5 linked regions of the Macaca mulatta genome follow. The protein of the gene in region 4 interacts with the protein of the main gene of each other region in a biochemical or structural test. Links are inferred from orthologs where the notes say so. Each region holds a gene or a part of one and is shown on either strand. Other genes may lie near its edges. The genes, in order: TRIP12, E2F1, CCND2, CDKN2A and SERTAD1.

Evidence for each region.
Region 1: the proteins of CDKN2A (region 4) and TRIP12 form a complex in vitro, tested with the Homo sapiens proteins (2 studies listed by BioGRID). The link is inferred for Macaca mulatta from reciprocal best matches to the Homo sapiens genes CDKN2A and TRIP12.
Region 2: the proteins of CDKN2A (region 4) and E2F1 form a complex in vitro, tested with the Homo sapiens proteins (2 studies listed by BioGRID). The link is inferred for Macaca mulatta from reciprocal best matches to the Homo sapiens genes CDKN2A and E2F1.
Region 3: the proteins of CDKN2A (region 4) and CCND2 form a complex in vitro, tested with the Homo sapiens proteins (2 studies listed by BioGRID). The link is inferred for Macaca mulatta from reciprocal best matches to the Homo sapiens genes CDKN2A and CCND2.
Region 5: the proteins of CDKN2A (region 4) and SERTAD1 form a complex in vitro, tested with the Homo sapiens proteins (2 studies listed by BioGRID). The link is inferred for Macaca mulatta from reciprocal best matches to the Homo sapiens genes CDKN2A and SERTAD1.

Annotation. Positions count from the first base shown.
Region 1 is NC_133417.1:135,054,126-135,057,637, forward strand, and holds part of TRIP12 (E3 ubiquitin-protein ligase TRIP12), read right to left. Parts: intron 2,681-3,512; coding exon 2,529-2,680; intron 1,852-2,528; coding exon 1,709-1,851; intron 402-1,708; coding exon 245-401; intron 1-244. UniProt on the Homo sapiens protein: E3 ubiquitin-protein ligase involved in ubiquitin fusion degradation (UFD) pathway and regulation of DNA repair.
Region 2 is NC_133415.1:86,457,672-86,461,797, forward strand, and holds the start of E2F1 (transcription factor E2F1), read right to left. Parts: upstream 2,801-4,126; 5' UTR 2,427-2,800; coding exon 2,166-2,426; intron 1-2,165. UniProt on the Homo sapiens protein: Transcription activator that binds DNA cooperatively with DP proteins through the E2 recognition site, 5'-TTTC[CG]CGC-3' found in the promoter region of a number of genes whose products are involved in cell cycle regulation or in DNA replication.
Region 3 is NC_133416.1:5,182,143-5,185,654, reverse strand, and holds part of CCND2 (G1/S-specific cyclin-D2), read right to left. Parts: intron 1,587-3,512; coding exon 1,438-1,586; intron 1-1,437. UniProt on the Homo sapiens protein: Regulatory component of the cyclin D2-CDK4 (DC) complex that phosphorylates and inhibits members of the retinoblastoma (RB) protein family including RB1 and regulates the cell-cycle during G(1)/S transition.
Region 4 is NC_133420.1:77,239,029-77,243,321, reverse strand, and holds the start of CDKN2A (cyclin-dependent kinase inhibitor 2A), read right to left. Parts: upstream 2,808-4,293; 5' UTR 2,490-2,807; coding exon 2,364-2,489; intron 1-2,363. UniProt on the Homo sapiens protein: Acts as a negative regulator of the proliferation of normal cells by interacting strongly with CDK4 and CDK6. This inhibits their ability to interact with cyclins D and to phosphorylate the retinoblastoma protein.
Region 5 is NC_133424.1:51,532,108-51,536,397, forward strand, and holds the start of SERTAD1 (SERTA domain-containing protein 1), read right to left. Parts: upstream 2,813-4,290; 5' UTR 2,699-2,812; intron 157-2,698; coding exon 1-156. UniProt on the Homo sapiens protein: Acts at E2F-responsive promoters as coregulator to integrate signals provided by PHD- and/or bromodomain-containing transcription factors. Stimulates E2F1/TFDP1 transcriptional activity.

The sequences.
Region 1 (3,512 bases), on a different chromosome or scaffold from region 4:
AAAGAGCAAAGAGAATTGTAGAAATTATTTCAGAAACTGGCGGGTGGGGAGGAGAGAAACTCTTAACGAAGGATAAGGAAGAATCACAGATAGCCCAGTTCCAAGAGACTGAAAGGAAAATAGGGCTAGCTGACTAGGACCAAGGCCTCCACGACCAACATGCATATTTAGATATACTACATTTCTAGTTTTCCCATTATTTTGAAAAGCTCAGATTATTTAAAGATTTCGGGGAGAAACTTACTTTTTTTCTATCCAATCTAGGTGCAACTCTGCTATCTTGAGAATCAGACTGGTTGATTTCTGGGTTGGTATCAAGTAATCTTTGCATTGCTCGGTCCCGATCAAATGCAGTTACATAAAAAAGCATTTGCCGGGTATCAAAAGGAAAGAAAAATGGGCTGTAAAAAGATGCAATGTAAGTTTATTATCTGGATGAGAATTAGAAACTACTAAAAAAAAAAAAAATCCAAACTTATATTAGAAACAACTTTTGATATGATATAGAATAAAAATTGTAAATAAAATCAGTAAAAATTGTTTAGGTCAATTTGTTTATTGAGTTTGAGATGGAGTCTTGCTCCCATCGCCCAGGCTGGAGTGCAGTGGTGTGATCTAGGCTCACTGCAACCTCTGCCTCCCAGGCTCACGCAATTCTCCTGCCTCAGCCCCCCAAGTAGCTGGGAGTACGGGCTCCTGACACCACAACCAGCTAATTTTTGTATTTTTTTTTTTTGAGACGGAGTCTCGCTCTGTCGCCCAGGCTGGAGTGCAGTGGCCGGATCTCAGCTCACTGCAAGCTCTGCTTCCCGGGTTTACGCCATTCTCCTGCCTCAGCCTACCGAGCAGCTGGGACTACAGGCGCCCGCCACCTCGCCCGGCTAGTTTTTTGTATTTTTTAGTAGAGACGGGGTTTCACCGTGTTAGTCAGGCTGGTCTTGAACTCCTGACCTCAGGTGATCCACTTGTCTTGGCCTCCCAAAGTGCTGGGATTATAGATGTCAGCCACCGCATCCAGCCAGGTCAATTAATTTTAAAGAATTTTTATACTTCTTATATGAAATTTCTAAGTGATCAATAGTGCATTAAGTAGCCTTTCAATGCAGAATCTGATATTTAATTTTTCAAATCCTACACTTAAGTCGACAGATCTTTAATCTACCTGAAGGAAGTATAACATGACTAATGAAAGCTCATTTTTAAAATATGACCACCACCTTCATGAGGCACTTGAATCATCCTGAAACCAGCCCTATCTCCCAGTCCATGTCTGTGGAAAAATTGTCTTCCATGAAACTGGTCCCTGGTGCCAAAAAGAGTTGGGGACTGCCGATTTAAATGTATATGGCCAGTGGCTTACATTTACCACTGCAGTTCTAGAGTCCCTGACCCAAGCAGGCTCAGAGAATCAAGCAACTACACCTTTGGAATCCAATTTTATGAGAACAGATAATTTTGACTATCTTCAGCCAAACTGCTATGTGTACTTTCCTATTTCATACATAAGACACATACTACCAAGAAGATCCAGCCCCCAAACTTGCCTAGTCTGTTTACATGCTAAAGCCACACAATTAAGCAAGTTGTGATCAACGGTATTAATAAACATTTGACTAGGTCCAGTAAAGACAATGTTTCTGTAACAAAATACATCAAGACCAACCCAGTAACATTTCCAAGGCCACCATTACAGAAGTGATTGTCTTACCAGGTTTTTCCTAGCTCAGTAAGCCATGTTGGGATGTTTCCTGTCATGATTACTAAAGGATCTTGAAGTTGCCTATTTGCTTTTGCTGTTAACTTACTGTTAATAAATTCACTAGTTGGAATAATTTCCTTGCACATTGCATTCTGTAAAATGTTTTAAAAAAAAAAAGTCTACATGTAGTAAAACATTAGGATTATATTCACAATCTCTTCCATTATCCCCAAATCCATGCAAAGTACCCTGAATTCAGTGCTGGTTGCCGACATACAACACACAGCCTCTCATTACTGTGTCCCACCTAAAACAACAATTCCCACAATACACTGTTAAGCCCTCACATGTACCCCTTGCCACTGCTGGGCACCGCCCCCAGCCACTGCTGCTGGCTCAATCATTCAGTGATGTTGCAGCTAATGTTTCATGCAGGGCCAATTCCTTTACTCTTCTCTATGCTGTATAAATATCAACGGCAGCATGCAACTGTTACCCAACTTTTACTTGATATATAAACTTCTCGTTACATGTACCTAAAGAATTTTAACTATAATAAATCCATGTTCAAGTTTCATATTGTAGCTTAATTTCATAAATTTATTGCTAGAGAAAATTTTACAAATCTGCCAAGAGAATTAATCTAAGCCTTTAGTCTTAGACTAGACCGGGAGAAAAAGTGGGGGAGAAGTTTCCACTGATGCGTACATTATACTTTACTAGGCTAGGATCCCTGTATTTAGCTGAATCACTATTTCCATTTCTAGTGCAATAGGAAATTTATCAATCACAGACCATGAAAACTTCTTAAGTAGGCAACGTTACTCACATCATACAAGTAATACCAGTATCGACTGATAGCATGTAAAACTCTTAAAAGAAGGATCACATCTAATGACGGGTCTTCAAATGTTATATTTTCAGGTGGTGTGGGAATGAGGTAAACTTCTAAAGGATTTGATACTGATGGGCACACTCCATCTAAAGGACAAAAGATCAAAGTAAGTTTTGATCAAAGTCAGAAAGGTGAAGCCAGTGCAGCCAAGGTCCTATCATCGCTAAAAGAGTAACGGACGTTGTTATAGTCAACGCTTGGAATCCTATTAGTAGGGTATTGATAAGTTTGACAGTCTTCCCATTTTATCTTACATATAAAATGCCTTGGCTTATAAAAATTTCACTTTCCCCTCCCAAACCCAAATAAACATTATAATGAAGGAAAGCTGGCTCCTCTACATTTCTCCTTTATACCAGAAACAACAGAAAACGGTAAAATGGCTGGAGGAATAGAAACAAACTGTTTAAAGTTAAGTTCACTGTTAGAGAAATTTCCCGGATATTTCATATCCAGTTTGTAACGAGACGAATACCTCAAAATTAAAAATCTGGTAAAAGAGACTTGGTTATTTAATGCAAGGCTTAGGACTGAACAGATTGAGGGTTTTCAAGTAGGGTCTGCAAATCCTTTGTTACTAGGCTGCATTAAGTAAAGGCACCAAAAAAATAAATCTGAGGGACTCAAAACAGTTGCCGTTTACTTATAGCAAGCAAAATAATAAAAAATCATACCACCATCATTTCGTAAAAGAAAATGGCATTTTTTAACACCAAAAACATAACAATCTCAAAATCAAGAGCCTTTTATATTGAACAAACTTAGTTGTGTGAAAAAAAGTGCCACAGGGCCCTTATTCCTGTGGACCAGGGAAACCAGTGTGAGAAAATTACTGTGATGGTGGCAGGGAGGGGGGTGGGGGGGGGTCTTCCATGGAAAAATAATATTGTCTAACTCTAAGGCATTGTTAGTATCATA
Region 2 (4,126 bases), on a different chromosome or scaffold from region 4:
TACTTGAGTTTGTGGAAGTGGACAGGCAGGGCCAAGAGGAATGGCCAAATCGCACAGAGCGTTATATACAGGTGTTCAACGAATGCCTGCTAGTATAGAAGCTAAGCCTGTAGCTTATTTCAAGGACTGCCCCAGACAAATGCCAGTGCAGAGAGGCCAAAAGCCGAACCTGTGGACTTTCTGGACTTCAGCTCCAGAATGGTGCTAGCCTCCTGGCCCTTACGTATTCTGGGAGCCGGGGCTCCTTGTCTCTGTGCCTAGTGCCTCCTGGGCATTCACTAATTCAACAACCGTTGAATGAATGCAGTGCCCAAGCCAATGAGCCTGCCCCTGACAGGTGGCGCGGAGGGCATTTTTCTTTGCCCCTGTCCCTCCCTTTGATCCTAGAACCCATAATCCTGTTCAGTTACTTGAGGACAAGACCCTCGGGTTCTGTTAGGTTTCTGCAGACCTGAGCCTGCTATATGCTTGTCACACAACTGAATGGAAGATGCTTGCCCAGGTCCCAAGCGGTACCCACAGGGACAGGTCCCTGGAGTACAGGAGACAGGCCACCTGGTCCACCCCTGGTACAAACCCCTCCCACCCACTCATTAAGAGGAAGGGCCCCTAAAAGCCCTTCCTGCCCTTTCTCCAACCTCTATCAGCATCTCTAGGAAGCAAGGCGTCCCAGAGGTCAACCTCACAGAAAATGCAGACTGGTCTCCCCACTCAAGAGCAGAATGACATGGGAAGATTCTAACATCTCTAGGCCTCAGCTTCCCAATCTGTAAAAAGGGACTGCTGCTGATAGGGTTAAATGAGTTAATTAGGTAAAGTGCTTGGCACAGAGCCTGGCACACAAGACATCCTCAAAACAATGGTGGCTGCTATTGTTATTATTATTAGCATTGTGGTGATTCCGGAAGGCAGCATTGGGCATGGGGCCAAGGGGGTTGGGGGAGCCTCCTCAGGATGCCTCAGGGACCAGCTGCCACCCACACCCCCATCAGCAGTTAGGCAGCTTCTACCTCCTTGTCCTGAGTCCTGCCTCACCCCTCCCACTTGCTTCAAGCTCCCTGCTGAGACCCCATCCAGCCTGGCCAGGCCCCGCCTGCACACCAGAGCCCCACCTTCACCCATAGGCTGCGCCAGTCAAACTGGTCTCCACACCCTGCCCTGCGCCCCACAGGTCCCAGCTCTACACCTCCAATCCCTTCTCCCACTGTAATTCAGCCGCCTCTTCTGGGCCCCCCAGTCTGAACAGGTCTTGAGCTCAGCGATCAGGGAGGACTTTATTAAAGGATCTCCCTGGGACATTTTCTCTCCTGGCACTGGGGGCCTCTCCAGCTCCCAGAGGCCCAGCCCACCTAGTCCTTCTACAGAGACTCAGGGGTCGGCCTGCCTGATTAATGAGGTTCCATGGCAACCAGGGCCTGGGAGGGTGGAGGGTGGCAGATGGAAGGACAGGCAGAGGGAGGGGACCTGCAGCTGGTCCAGCTGCCCCGCCCCTGCAGAGAAGGCCTCCCAGCCAGGAGGGCTGTCCCCAGAGGCCTGGCCAGCCAGGCCTGCACCTGGCAGTCAGCATCGAGGCAGAAGGAGGGTCTCCTCAATGGCTCACCAACGGTTAGGCCCCAGGACCTTCCTCCGCCCCGCCTTCACTTCCCCTAGCAGCTGTGCTCACTACCGAGATGCAAATTCTGAGCTGAAGCCAGCAGGCCTCAGTTCAAATCCCAGCCCCACCACCTGCAGCCGTATGACCAGGGGCAAGTCACTTCCCCTCTCTGGGCCTCAGTTCTTCCTCCGTCAGATGGGCACAGTGACAACACAGCTCACAGCGGGGTTGTGAGTTTTAGCTGACTTGAAGTCGGCCGAAGGCCTGGCATGCAGTAAACGCCAGTTGAATACACGTGGGTTATTATTATCACTGAGTCTGACGCTGCGGAGCCTCCAGTGAGGAAGCTGAGGCCCAGAGCACAGAGGAGCAAACAGGGACCGGCCCGAGGTCACCCCGCACCCCAGGGCGGGGCCCGCAGGCCCAACCCCGGCTCTGCACCGCCCAGCCTGGGCGCCTCAGTCAACCCCTCCCCCGCCCCCTGCCGCCTTCAGGCCAAACACGGCGCCCTCCCGGGTCTGCGCGGGGGGCACAGGAGGCGCTGTCGGCGCGTCGTCCCTGGGGTCCGTACCGGCGGGCGGCCGAGCGCGGGGCGCGGCGCACTGGGTGTGGGCCGGGGCGCCTGCGGTGTGGCGAAGAGCAGCAGGTCAGGGTCGCAGGGGCCGGCGGCTGGCGCCGCGGGGCCGGTGGGAGCCGGCGGGGCGCTGGCGTCCTGCGCGGCAGAGATGATGACGATCTGCGAGGAGTCGAGCAGCCGCAGCGCGCCGGCCCCGAGCAGGGCCTCCAGCGCCGGCGCGCATGGGCCGCCCGCAGGGGCCCCGGCCAAGGCCATGACGCTCACGGCCCGCGCGGCCCAGGTGACAGGCGGCGGCGGCGGCGCGGGCCCATGGCGGCAGGCCCCGGCGAGGGCTCGATCCCGCTCCGCCCCCGGCCGCCGCTGCCTGCAAAGTCCCGGCCACTTTTACGCGCCAAATCCTTTTTGCCGCGAAAGAGCCACGAGCCGCCGAGCGCCGCCACAATTGGCTGCCCGGGCCGTGACGAGAACGACGGCGGCGGCTCCTATTGGCTTTAGCGCGCCGGACCCGGCGGCGAGGGGCGGGATGGGGCGGCGGCGCGGGGCGGTACGGCCAATGACGGGGCGGGGCGCGCGCAGGCTTTGTCCGGATGGTGCCAGGCGCGGTCTGACTCTCCGCCCCCAGCCCGGGCGTCCCCTGTTGGAGGCGTGGGGACACGGGAACACGGGCCCCGCCCTGCCCCGCCCCGATGCTCCCGCATCCCACTGCCCTTTCTATAGTGCAGGTTCAGAACAGAGCCTCTGTTCTGCACGTGACCCTCAACCTGTAGCCTTCCACAGCCTCAGCTTAGATTTCCAGAGACTGCCCCCTCTTTTTTTCGGGATCATCAGTTCCACAGCCCAGCCATCAGCCACCTCTTCCATCCTCAACTTGCCTCACCCATGACATTATCCTAATCCTGCACCCGGCCCTATCCCGCTCACCCAGAGCCCAAGCTGAAGAGCGGTGGCTAGAAATGGCGGGGGGACGTCAAGCTTTCCTGCAAGTCCCATTTTAGCCAAAATCTCCAACAGCCAACGTAAAGCGTCGGCCTGAACTCATTCATTCCCTCACTCATTCAACAAACGTTTGAAGAGCCTGCTCTGTGCCTCATCCTTAAATCTGCCCCATCCTTAACTCGTGGCCCTGAGGAGCTCACAGTCTAGTAGACGGGAACAGAAAGGTAACAAACGTTTACAATAACATGAAGCGTCGTCTGGGCGCGGTGGTTCACGCCTGGAATCCCTGTAATCAGAGGGCGGGGTGGATCGCTTGAGTCCAGGAGTTTGAGACCAGCCTGAGCAACATGGTGAAAACCCGTCTCTACAAAAAATACAAAAATTAGCCAGGCATGGTGGCGCGTGCCTGTAGTCCCAGCTACTTGGGAGGCTGAGCTGGGAGGATTGCTTGAGCCCGAGAAGTCGAGTCTGCAGTGAGCTATGATCATGCTACTGCACTCCAGCTTGGGTGACAGAGCGAGATCCTGTCGCAAAAACAAAACACATCACTTCTGGGGAGCCCTCCCAAGGATTTACTCGCTTCCTCTATTGCCCACTGCTGCCTCTGTTCCAATGCTGACCACACACTCCTTTTCTCCATCTGCCTCCCCTACCAATCTAGGAGCTCAGTAGCGACTCCTCCCATCACTGGTCTGACCGAGAGCAGGCGCTGAGAAAGGTTATGAAAGAAACAGACGCTAAGCCAGAGGCTGCTTAGACTGTGACAAGGAGACTATGGTTCTGCAAGGGTGGTCCTTAGGCCACTGGCTTCAGAACCACGTGGTCACTTGCTAATTTTGGGCCCACCCTGGCCTTGCCAATTTGAAATCTCTAGGTGCCCAGGAATCTGCATTTTAACAATGTCGTGTCGCCATTCCAGGTGATGTTTTTCTCTTTCTTTCTTTTATTTCTTTCTTTCTTTTTTTCCCCCGACACTTAGGGAATTAGAAAAGCCAGTATCTTATTTTTTTTTCCTACTT
Region 3 (3,512 bases), on a different chromosome or scaffold from region 4:
CCTGTCCACGATTTTCCTCTGGAGGATTAGAAAAGCATTCTTCATGCTGCACCGGAGGGAGCTCTTCAGTCTGCGTTTTGGAGCCCTCGTTTAAAAAGCGTTATGTTTGGAGCCCGCATTTTAAAACCATATCTAAGAACTATCTCGGAGGAGGATCCCGGATTTGCTCGGTCAGCATCTCCCCGCGCCATTTCTCTGAGCGAGGAACAAACGCCAGGAAAAATCCAGGTGGGCGGGAGAGGAAGCCAGGGAGCTGCAGCCGTGGGCTCTGTGAAGTTTAATCTGTTCAGTAGCCCTTGTGCAGGCCTCAGCCATAGGCCTGTAAATCACATGATCCCTTAACTCAATAAAAGCCCACAGAGGGCATCTGAATCCCCCCGGACCATCCAGAGGGTGTCATCGTGAAGTGCCCAGCATTCTTCAGCCTCTCCATGGTGATGCATGAGGGCTCAGGGCCAACAACCCTCTCTCGGGTTGACTTTAAACCCAAGGGTTTTTTTCAAACCAAAAGATCCCAGGAGCGGCAGCAAGGGTGGAGTGGAAAGTTTCCAGGGGGCAGTCGGAGCTTGGGGGTTCTAGTCCCAGCTCAGCCACTGCCCAGCCCCTCCTGGCTGGTTACTTCAACCCCTGCCCTGCCCGTGGAAAATAAGGAACTGCTTCTCTGACCTCTCAGCACCGTCCTGGCTCCAACGCCCTAGGACTGCAGCTTCCTACCAATTCAATTCGGAGTCTCACTTGACCCTGGTCTCTCTCAAAACCTTTCTTCTCAGGAACTCCGAATTCTGGCAACAGGAAGTAACAGCCTCTGAGCCGTCCACAGGGCACACAGAATGGGGAAGCTCCATAGCTAATAATAGTTTCTTGAGTTTGTATGGCACTTTTGTCTTTTGAAAGCACTTTGTCATCCATTACTGCATTGAACAAAAGGGAAGAGAGAGCGGGGAGGGGTCGAGAGGTTTGCCAGGGGCGGACACCGTTCTCACAGTGGGGCACCTCTTGTGTGTCTGCTCCGTCCACTGCAGCTGAGTCCTGGCTCTCCTTTCTCCTCTGTGCGCCTTACAGCCTCAGCGTGTGTGAGCAGACACGGCGGCTCTTCACTGCTGGGCAGAGGCAGCCCGGCAGCGTGTACAAATATGGCAATGAAGCAACAACTCAGACCCACTGGGAAGCCCACGCCATAGAGGAACGTCGGTAAACAGCCCTCCCGCCCCCTGCCCCCCGCATCTGCTTGCTGAATTTTCTTCTGTATTTTGTGGTGCACAGCTTTTCAGAACCTTAAGAGGGCGTGTCACCTGCTGAACTTTGTACTCCCTTGATGTCGATCTTAGAAAACACACCAAAAAAATACCTCTGACACAACATCATCAAATCCGACGTCTCTTTCCCTGAGCTGAGAAGAGACATCTGGACTTAGCCAAGAAGGTGGTGGCCACCTACCACGTCTGTGTTGGTGATCTTAGCCAGCAGCTCAGTCAGGGCATCACAAGTGAGCGAGCTCACTTCCTCATCCTGCTGGAGCCCGCAGATGGCTGCTCCCACACTTCCAGTTGCGATCATCGATGGTGGGTACATGGCAAACTTAAAGTCTGCAAGGAATGAGAGGCAGAAGGTCAGGCCACAGAACGCATTCGGATCCTGGAGCTCCCTGACGCTGCAGAGACTCAGAAACAGGATGGCAGCGGGTCAGCTGCACGAGTGACCCCCGTGCCCTACAGGCATGTCCTCCCTCGAGTTCTTTCACAAGAAGCCTGTGTTTATTTACCATCACCGTGGCTGTTCCAGATTTAAATGGAGGAGACTGAGGCAGGGAAGGAAGGCAGCTTATGTAAGTGCACACAATGAATGCACAGAGGATTCAAGGTCCCCAATCCCCAAATGCCAGTCATATTAAGCATGTGCGAGGTAACATTCTTGACCCTGGTGGGGGCAGCAAGGTGAGCGAGTCATGGTCTCTGGAGGTGATGGTGGGAACAGAGCAGAGAATGCCTGAGACCAGTGTAGATAAGGTACCCCATGGGCCATGCAAGCAGGACAGACCGGGGGTTCCAGATGTGAGAAGGAGGGAAAGGACAAGGAGGTGGGAGAAACGGGCAAAATCTATGCAGAATGCTAATTCAGATGGGATCTTGCTATAGTCTCTGGACAGGCATCAAGGATTAATATGACCCCCCCCAAAAAAAAGATTCGATTTAAAAAAGGAAATGAGAGAAGCAGCAATGCAGCAAGTGGGCGAGTCGGGGCTGAATTCCACCCAGTTCCCAACCTCTGGCCCAACAGCAAGAACCCTCAGAACATTAGGGCAGAGGATTCTAACCCCAACATAGGGCTCTAACTAAGCACCAAAGATTAATCATTGCATCTGAATCAGACGGGTGACTTGGTTTCCATATTATGACTCATGAGCCTGAAGTCCCCATCTTATTACTAAGAGAAAAAAATGTGACTTGCTACAGAGAAGTGCAGAATGAGGATAATAAATCAGAGGGCTTGAACCCCATCCACTGCCATTTCTGACAGCAAATACAGAGGATGCTCCCGTGTGCTGCAGGGCTCCTCTTGAAAGACCAGACCCCAGGGGCTGCGTGGCTATGATCCAGCAGCTGCTTGGTCCACCAAGGGGAAATAAAGACAGCCAACTTCCTCCTGTTACTGCTGCCGACAGCTACCAATGACCACCATATGCAATACGCTACACGTTACGTCCTGTTTAATTCACCCATCAGCCACAGACAGTGCACAAGAGCGTCACCCTAATGGTATGGGTGAGACCCCTGAGACTTCTGAGAGTTCAAGTTGCCCCTGCTCACGTTGACATGACATTAGAGTGGGTATAGTTTCAGTCATCACCCCAGTGACGGTCCTGGAGTGCAGTAAGTCTTCCAAAGCGTACTCTTCCCAGTTTTAGCATTGCTCTAGTGAACTTACTGTGTGTAGACATGGAAGGGGCACGTGGGGGCAGGAGACAGAGCATACAGGGAACCGTGGGTCACCCTTCAACGTATAGCAAAAATAATCAGGTTAAACCTACAAAACCAGCCCCTCTCATATCTCCCCTTCTTCCTATACACGCTCTATTACAAACGCATTTTCTACAGCAGCTGTTTTAATGGTGGGCCCATTGCCCCAGCATCAAGTTAGACACTGTGGATCCCTGAGCCAAGCATAGCCCTCCCCTCCCATCACGAACGCAGAGCAAACCTGGCCATCTGCCTGTCTCCTTGGCTTTTTTTCCCATCGCCCTCTCACCATCTCCACCTCTTGAGGGACGTATATAATGGTGCTACGCCCACGCCTGCTGTCCACCTGCCCCTCCTATGCCTTCTCATCTTCTCTGTCGCCACGGACAGTGTGACAAAGCCGGCCTCCCTGCCTCTTGCTCTGCTGTAGGTCCCTTCCACATGGGTCACAGGAGAGTGCTTCTCTGCCCAATAACCTCGTTAGCTCCCCCCTGTGACATTCATAACACAAGCGGGGCAGCCGGCCCATGGCCCTGGGCCCACAAAGGCCCGGGT
Region 4 (4,293 bases):
ATTTATTAACTTATGTAGCAAAAGAGGCTTTGCAGATGTGATTTAAGTAATGGTCTTGAGGGAGATTATCCAGAATTTTCAGGGTGGGCCCAATAGAACCCCAAGTGTTTTTATTAGAGGGTCACAGTCAGAGAGAAGATAAAAGAATGGAAGCACAGGCCACAGAGAAAATACAGGGAATATGAGCCAAGGAATTTGATGGTCACTAGAAGCTGGAAAAGACAAGGAAACAGATTGTCCCTTAGAGTTTCCCAAAGTGGACCCATTTTTGACTTCTGATCTCTAGAACTGTACTGTAAAATAATAATTTTGTTTGTTTTAGCTAACACATTTGTGGTAATTTGTAACAGCAGCAATAGGAAACGAAAAGGCTTCCCAGGTTTATGATTTGAGAGTTCATTAAACAAGAGATGGTCACCTTTTTGGTTCCTAAATCATCTTGGAAACAAAGCCATTTCCAGAGAGGAATTTTAAAATACTGTCTCCAGTCATAGCAACCTTAAAATTTGAGTGTTGCATGGTGGAAATAAACAATTTATTTTAGGATAACTGTTATTTGTTATATTAGCTTGAGGATGGTTGTGTTAAAGAGGAATTACTTATTTTTAGGTACATTTCATACTAAACACAAATTGCATAATTTGCCTAAATCAAGGAATTATACTAAATTATATTATGGTTATTAAATGCTGTCCTGAGAAAGTGAAACTGACTTAGTTTTCAAAGAGACAAAGAGAAAGTATAAGCAAACCAAATTGCAGCTACAAAAAGAAAGACAAAATGTTGCAGCATATTTATTGTTCCGTGTGTTCACTGAAGTTCTCTTCGTCTTGGTCATAAAACTAGCCTTAAAGGTTTTTATTATATTTCATAGAATGAAAAACCTAAAAAGTAACCCATATGTAAATATTTAAATCATGATATAAATCCAAAGCAAAAAGAAAATGAATTCATTGAATTAAAATGTGTAGGATGCTTAAACCCATTTGATAATAAATTGATATGAATTTAGCATTTAAAAATATTATACAAATAAGTGTTCCTATATTAAACACCAGTGTAGTTAGGATTCTAAGCCAACAACACTTCCCCTTTTCTACATGTTCTTCTCCCTTCCCCATTAAAAATTGTCAAAACTATCCACTTTTCTTTTTCCTTTTTGTTTTTAAACAAATAAGGTCTCTTCTAAGATATTTTAGGACTACAAAGCCAAATTCCCGGGTCCAAGCTGTTGGCAAAATTTTAGAGATGCTAAGTTACCCATGCATTAATTACTTTTAAATCATCCCCTAACTCCCTCACAAAACCGGAGTAGGGAGAGGAGAAACACCACTGTTCAAAAATGAGGAATTGAAAACTCTATCACAAAATAAACTATTATCAAGTAAGCTAAAGATAGCAAAACAGTAAAAATATTAGCAGATATTCCCAAAATGGTGACTACATATTACTTCTGGCACGATCACATGAATGTAGCTCATTATTTCCTAAGTTCCTACAGCAAACATGTATTTATTTGCCCTACTCAGTTAAAAATAAACACAATATGTAGTTGCTTCTGAATGCTTTTTTTTTTTTTTTATCTCTCTCTTTCTCTTTCTTTCTTTCGACAGTCTCACTCTGTCACCCAGGCTGGAGTGAAGTGGCTCCCTCTCGCTGTTCACTGCAACCTCAGCCTCCCGGGTTCAAGCGATTCTCCTGCCTCAACCTCCCGAGTAGCTGGGATTACAGGCGCCTGCCACCACCCCCCGGCTAAGTTTTGTATTTTTAGTAGAGGCGGGGTTTCACCTGTTGGCCAGGCTGGTCTCGAACTCTTAGGTGATCCCCCCGCTCCTTGAGCTCCCAAAGTGATGGGATTATAAGGCGTGAGGCACTGCGCCCGGCAGCTTCTGAATAATTTCGATCAGAAATTTATATTCGATATTTATTCCAACATACACCACAGATTTCCACTGATAATCCCTACTAGTAAGAAAGATAAACTCCATCCAGGCATCTGTGAATTGGGGGCTAAGTAGTCCCAGCACATCTTACATTTCTTTAAGACTCCCGTTTTATCTCAAACCTTCGTAAGTTTTGTATCTGATAGAGCATACTTCCATCTAATACAAATATGTTCCCCCCTTCAGATCTTCACAGCATTCGAGAGATCGGCACGCGCGTGCCTCCTCATTCCTTCCTTGGCTTCGCAAGCACCCAGGGCTTCGCCAGCAGGAGGTCTGTGATTACAAACCCCTTCTGAAAACTCCCCAGGAAGCCCTTTTTTCCAGACTCAAAGCGCTACCTGATTCCGACTCCCCTGCAAACTTCGTCCTCCAGAGTCGCCCGCCATCCCCTGCTCCCGCTGCAGACCCTCCACCCACCTGGATCGGCCTCCGACCGTAACTATTCGGTGCGTTGGGCAGCGCCCCCGCCTCGAGCAGCGCCCGCACCTCCTCTACCCGACCCCGGGCCGCAGCCGTGGCCAGCCAGTCCGCCGAAGGCTCCATGCTGCTCCCGGCTGCTCGCTCCCTGCTCTCCCACTCTCCGCAGCGGCCAAGTGCACGCGGCCGCCCCACCCTCTGGTGACCAGCCAGCCCCTCCTCTTTGTTCCTCCGGTGCTGGCGGAAGAGCCCCCTCGGCCTCTGTCCCTCAACTCCTCTGGAGGGATCGCGGTATCTTTCCAGGCAGGGGGGCGCCGTTCGCGAGTGCTTGGAGGAGGTGCTATTAACTCCGAGCACGTAGAGAATGTGGCACCCCTGAAGTCGCCCCAGGGTGGGCCTCCCCCGGGGGCACCAGCCGGAAGCAGCCCCCGCCAGAGCCAGCGTTGGCAAGGAAGGAGGACTGGGCTCCTCCTCCTCACCTGCCCCCAACACCGCCCTCCGGCCTCCCTGCTCCCAGCCGCGCTCCCCCGCCTGCCAGCAAAGGCGCGTTCGAGTGCGTTCACTCAGTTAAAAAGAAAAAAAGAAATCCCCCCGCCCCCCGCCCCGTTTCCTTCCTGCGCGGTACAACCTTCCTAACTGCCAAATTGAATCGGGGTGTTTGGTGTCATAGGGAAAGTATAGCTTCTTCTTTTAATCATAAGAAAAAGCAAAACTGTTCCTTCCTAGTTGTGAGAGCCCCACCGAGAATCGAAATCACCTGTACGACTAGAAAGTGTCCCCCTACCCCCTCAACCCTTGATTTTCGAGAGCGCGGGGTTCACTAACTCAGAAATCCTAGTTCAAAGGATTCCTTTTGGAGAGTTGGCCTACCCTCTCCTTCTCCACCCCTTCCCCTCCTACGTGTAAAATGGCTGTCTGGGGCAAGGGTTTCTCAGACGTGTACATTGCCTGGTATAACAGCAGACTCTGAAAAGATGAGGTTTATTTAATACGGGGGAGATTTCTGCCTGTAGGCAGATAGGAAAATGGAGATGGAGTCATTGGAAGGACGGACTACATTCTCAAAGTCATAATTCCTAGACCAGAAAAAGTGCTCAGTGTTCTAGAGGCAGAGTTGCACAGTGATCCAAAGACCCGCTTTACACATTGTCCTGTCTCCTACACACTCCTCACATTTCTCTTTCCTACTGAAAATACTTTGCATTTTTCTTAGTTATAAAGGGAGAAGGGAATATGAGTACCCCCTGCTTTACAGGGGTGTTGTGAGTTTAAATGAATTGTTGTATATTAATACATATAAGACTTAAGAACACTGCCACACATCCTAAACTAATACCTGTTAGCTCTTGAATTATCCGTTTTGAGGATTGGCTTGCAATCTTGTTTTGAGGCATAGAAAGAAAATGCTTTGGAGCCGGACGCGGTGGTTCACGCCTGTAATCCCAGCACTTTGGGAAGTTGAGGCGGGCAGATACCTGAGGTCAGGAGTTCGAGGCCAGCTTTGGCCGTCTGTACTAAAAATACAAAACTTAGCCGGGCGTGGTGGCGCACGTGTGTAATTCCAGCTACTCAGGAGGCTGAGGCAGGAGAATCGCTGGAACCCAGGAGGTAGAGGTTGCCGTGAGCCGAGATCGCGCCACCGCCTTCCAGCCTGGGTGACAGAATGAGACTCCGATTCAAAAAAAAAAAAAAAAAAAAAAAAAAAAAGCTTTGGATAGAATTATCACTATTATATAAAAGGAAAGGCTGGACGCGGTGGCTCACGCCTATAATCCCAGCATTCTGGGAGACTGAGACAGGAGGATCACCTGAGGTCAGGAGTTCGAGACAATCCTGACCAATATGGCGAAACCCTGTCTCTACTAAAAAATACAAAATTAGCTGGGCTTGGTGGTGCATGCCTGTGATCCCAGCTACTGGGAGGCTGATG
Region 5 (4,290 bases), on a different chromosome or scaffold from region 4:
CTTGAGCACCGAGAGGTCAAAGAGGGAGCTAGAGGCCACAGCTGGGGGTGCCTGTGCCACCGATGCGTGGCCAGGATCCAGCCACCAGGCGTCGACTGCCAGAGGTTCCTTCTCCTCCTCCTCCTCCCGTTTCCGCTTCAGACCCTTGCTCAGCATCTGCAGAGGGCAGGGAGTTATGGAGTTATAGTCAGTTATAGAAAACAAATGTTCAGTTCAAAGCCTGGATCTGACAGTTGCTACAGGTAGGATCTTGGGCAAGTCACTTAACCTCTCTGTGTCTAGCTTTTCCTAGGGAACTTTAAAGATATAGATAATTTTTATTTAATTGCATATGTATATTTATAAATTATTATTATTATTTTGAGATAGAGTCTCGCTCTGTTGCTCAGGCTGGAGTGCAATGCCGTGATCTCAGCTCATTGCAACCTCTGCCTCACGGGTTCAAGTGTTTCTCGTGCCTCAGCCTCCCCAAAAGCTAGGATTGCAGGCGCACGCCACCATATCTGGCTAATTTTTATATTTTTAGTAGGGGCGGGGTTTTACCATGTTGGCCAGCCTGGTCTCGACCTCCTGGACCTTAAGTAATCCGCCCACCTCTGGTTCCCAAAGTGCTGGGATTACAGGTGTGAGCCACCACACCCAGCCTATAGACTTTAAAAGAAATTTTTTTTTTTTTTTGAGACAGTCTCTCTCTCTGTTGCCCAGGCTGGAGTGCAGTGGCTCGATCTCGGCTCACTGCACGCTCCGCCTCCGGGGTTCACCCCATTCTCCTGCCTCAGCCTCCCACATAGCTGGGACTACAGGCGCCCGCCACCACGCCCGGCTAATTTTTGTATTTTTAGTAAAGATGGGGTTTCACCATGTTAGCCAGGATGGTCTCGATCTCCTGACCTCATGATCCACCCATCTCGGCCTCACAAAGTGCTGGGATTACAGGCATGAGCCACCGCGCCCGGCCTTAAATTTTAAATTTTGTATTTAAGTATATTTATAGACTTTTTAATCTGAAAAAAGAGATGGGGTCTCACTATATTGCCCAGGCTGGTCTCAAACCCCCTGGCCTGAAGTGATCCTCCCCCCTCAATCAATAAACACTCTTTTTTTCCCCCCTTTTATTTTTTGTAGAGACAAAGTCTTACTATGTTACCCAGGGTGGTCTCAAACTCTTTGCCTTAAGCCATCCTCCCGCCTCAGCCTCCCAAAGTACTGGGATTATAAGTGTGAGCTGCCATGCCCTGCCAATAAGTACACTTAATGATAACATTATTATTTCTTCAGTGAACCATGTGGAATGACCATTCAACTTTTTCCCCTACAAAAGCAGCTGTTTCATATATTATAATAACGTTATAAATAATTATATCTAAGTAAGTTATATTATAAATACTAAACTAGTTTCACATAGTTTAACACTTATTGTCTACTATGACGTTTCAAACAGTAAATAAATAAGCAAACACAGGAAATGTACGGAGAATTACAGGAAGACACTAAAAGGTCCTGGAGACCTTTTAGATGATCAGAGAAGGCTCCTGTAAGGAGGTGACATTTGAATGGAGCCCTCAGGCCAGAGAAGTCGGCCATGGGAGACCCTGGGAAAAGCATTCCGGGAGGAGGGAACAACAAAAAAAGGCAAAGAAAAGCCCAGAGGCTGGGGGAATGGGCACAAGCCAGGTCACAGAAAACCACATATGCATTAGTAGGGAGTTTGGATTTTATCCTGAGTGTGGTGGGCAGTCATTAAAGGAATTTGAGCACGGAGGGAATGGGGGTGTGAGCTGATTAGGTTTCCGGAAGATCCCCCCCATGGCTGCTTCGAGGAATACTGTAGGGGGCAAAAAGAGGGGGGATCTGAGACCCACTAGTAGGCTGTACTGGTTTGGGACTGACGATAGTGATGGCCTGGAGCAGGAGCTGGTAGTGGGTATGGAAGGAAGTCGGTCGAGTCAGGATTTCTTTGGGAGGCAGAATAGACAGGGCTTGTCGAGAAATCGTGATCGGCACCGGGGTCAGTCACTGAGATAAGTTTGAGGGTCCACTCTTTTCTTGGAGTGGCGGGGGTAGGGCTGGATGGAGTTTTGGACCCCTGGCGCTACCTACTTTTTTGGGCCAGGAAGACTTTAGAGTCCAGTTCCGGGACCCTGCCTAGCAAGATTTTAAGAGTGGCCCACCACACTACTCAAAACTGGGTCTTCGTCCCCTTCCCCGCAGTCCGTGGAGTCCGGAACCGCAGGAATTCCGCCCCCACCCCCGACTCCGCCCCCGAGTCCCGGCGCCCCCTGGCGGTGCCCAGGCCGGCTTTCCCCTGGGGATTCTGGCCCCTCTGACCCCAGAACCCCTTCTACTGCCCGGCTGTGATTCCTGCAGGCCTCCCGGCGCCGTGAGAGCCAGGACCCTAGGCGGGCTGTTCTCTGCGCCCGGCCTCCGCTCGCTTCCGGCAGTGGAGGCGGCTCCTCCCGAAGCGGCGGCGGCGGGGGCGGGTGAGTCACGCAGCCGGAGCCAAGGAGCCGGCGCCTCCGCCCCCTTCTCGGACTGCGGCGTGATTCACCCGGCCCGGCCGGGGCAGACAGCACGTAGAGGCCCGCGCGTCTCGATCCCGGGCAGCCCCGGCGGGCACCTGTCGGACCCAGGGATCGAACTCCGTGAAGGACCCGGCCGCTGGTACCCCTTTTCTTCCCAGGCCCCTTCATTTACATACCCTGCTCACTAGCGGCCAATCAGAACGAAGAGGTAGCCACCCACAACCAATCAGGAAACGGCAGCGGCAGCATCGCTTGCTCGCTCTCCTCCAGCAACCGGCGCCTGGGTCGCGAGACGCAGTTCTGACTTCGGCTCACGACTCCAGACTCCTAACTACCCTTAGCGACCGCCCACTCTCGTGGCTGCCCCGCCCTCCGCCCCAGGGATTGGCCCTCTACGGTGATGGGCGGAGCCTGTAAAGGGCGGATTCTGAAGGAGGGGCTTCTGGGCGCATGCCCGGGCAGCTGCGCGAGTGAGGGGTGGAAAGAGGTGGCTTTTTACTCTGGGGGACGGTGGCGAGTGGGAGCTTTTGCCTCTCAAAGTACGAGCCCCTCACAACTACCCATGCACCTGCCAAACCCGGCAATTAAGCTTCTTACACATCCACCCCCGACAGTGGTCTACACTACAGATATGCCCAGGTTCAAATTCCGACTCCTGATTCCCCACTCACTCGATGCGTGACCTTGGAAAAATGATCAACCTCTTCAAGCTACACAAAGTTAAATGGGGATCGTCTTGCATACCTCTTGACAAGAAAGTTTAAATAGGATCGTATCTATAAGAACACAATACCACACTCAAGCAATGCTGGACAGTTGGACTTAATTGTGGTTAAGGGCGGCAGTGAGGTGGGAGTGCGGAATCACATCCCGGGCTCCATTCCCTAAGCAGCTGTGTGACCTGGGGCAAGTGTTTTAATCCCTTCGGGTCTTTTTCTCCTTTAACATGAGAGAAAATAGCCCCTAGTTTAGAGGATTGTTTTAAGGATTAAATAAAACAATTCATGCAAAATCCTCAGAGTGGGGTGCAATGTGTTTTGTGGTTTTTTCATTTTATTTATTTATTTATTTATTTATTTATTTATTTATTTAAGACAGATTCTCACTCCGTCGCCCAGGCTGGAGTGCAGTGGCACGATCTCAGTTCACTGTAACCTCCGCCTCCCAGGTTCAAGCAATCATCCTGCCTCAGCCTCCTGAGTAGCTGGGAATACAGGGGTGTGCCACCATACCCGGCTAATTTTTGTATTTTTAGTAGAGGTGGGTTTTCACCTCGTTGGCCAGGCAGATCTCAAATTCCTCACCTAAGGTAATCCGCCCTCTCAGAGTACTGGGATTAGAGCCCTGAGATGCCGCGCCCAGCTGCCTTTTTTTTTTCTTTACTTTTTATTTTATTTTATTTTGTTTTTGAGACAGGGTCTCGCTCTGTCACCCAGGTTGGAGTGTAGGGGTGCCATCTCAACTCACTACAGCCTAGACCTCCAGGGTTCAAGCCATCCTCCTGCCTCAGACCCCCAAGCAGGTGGGACTACAGGCACATGCCACCGTGCCTGGTTAGCAACACGTTTCCTTGTTAGCAGTAATAGCTGTTGTAATAAGACAAGCTTTTAGTTCAAGATGAATAGACATGCAGGATGGGGCTAGAGGTAGACAGGGTATAATACTCCTCCCTTGGCTGGATGCAGTGGCTCACACCTGAATACTCTCTCACCTAGATTTAATTGATAGTTGTTGGCCAGGCAACAACTGTAATCCCAGTACTTTGGGA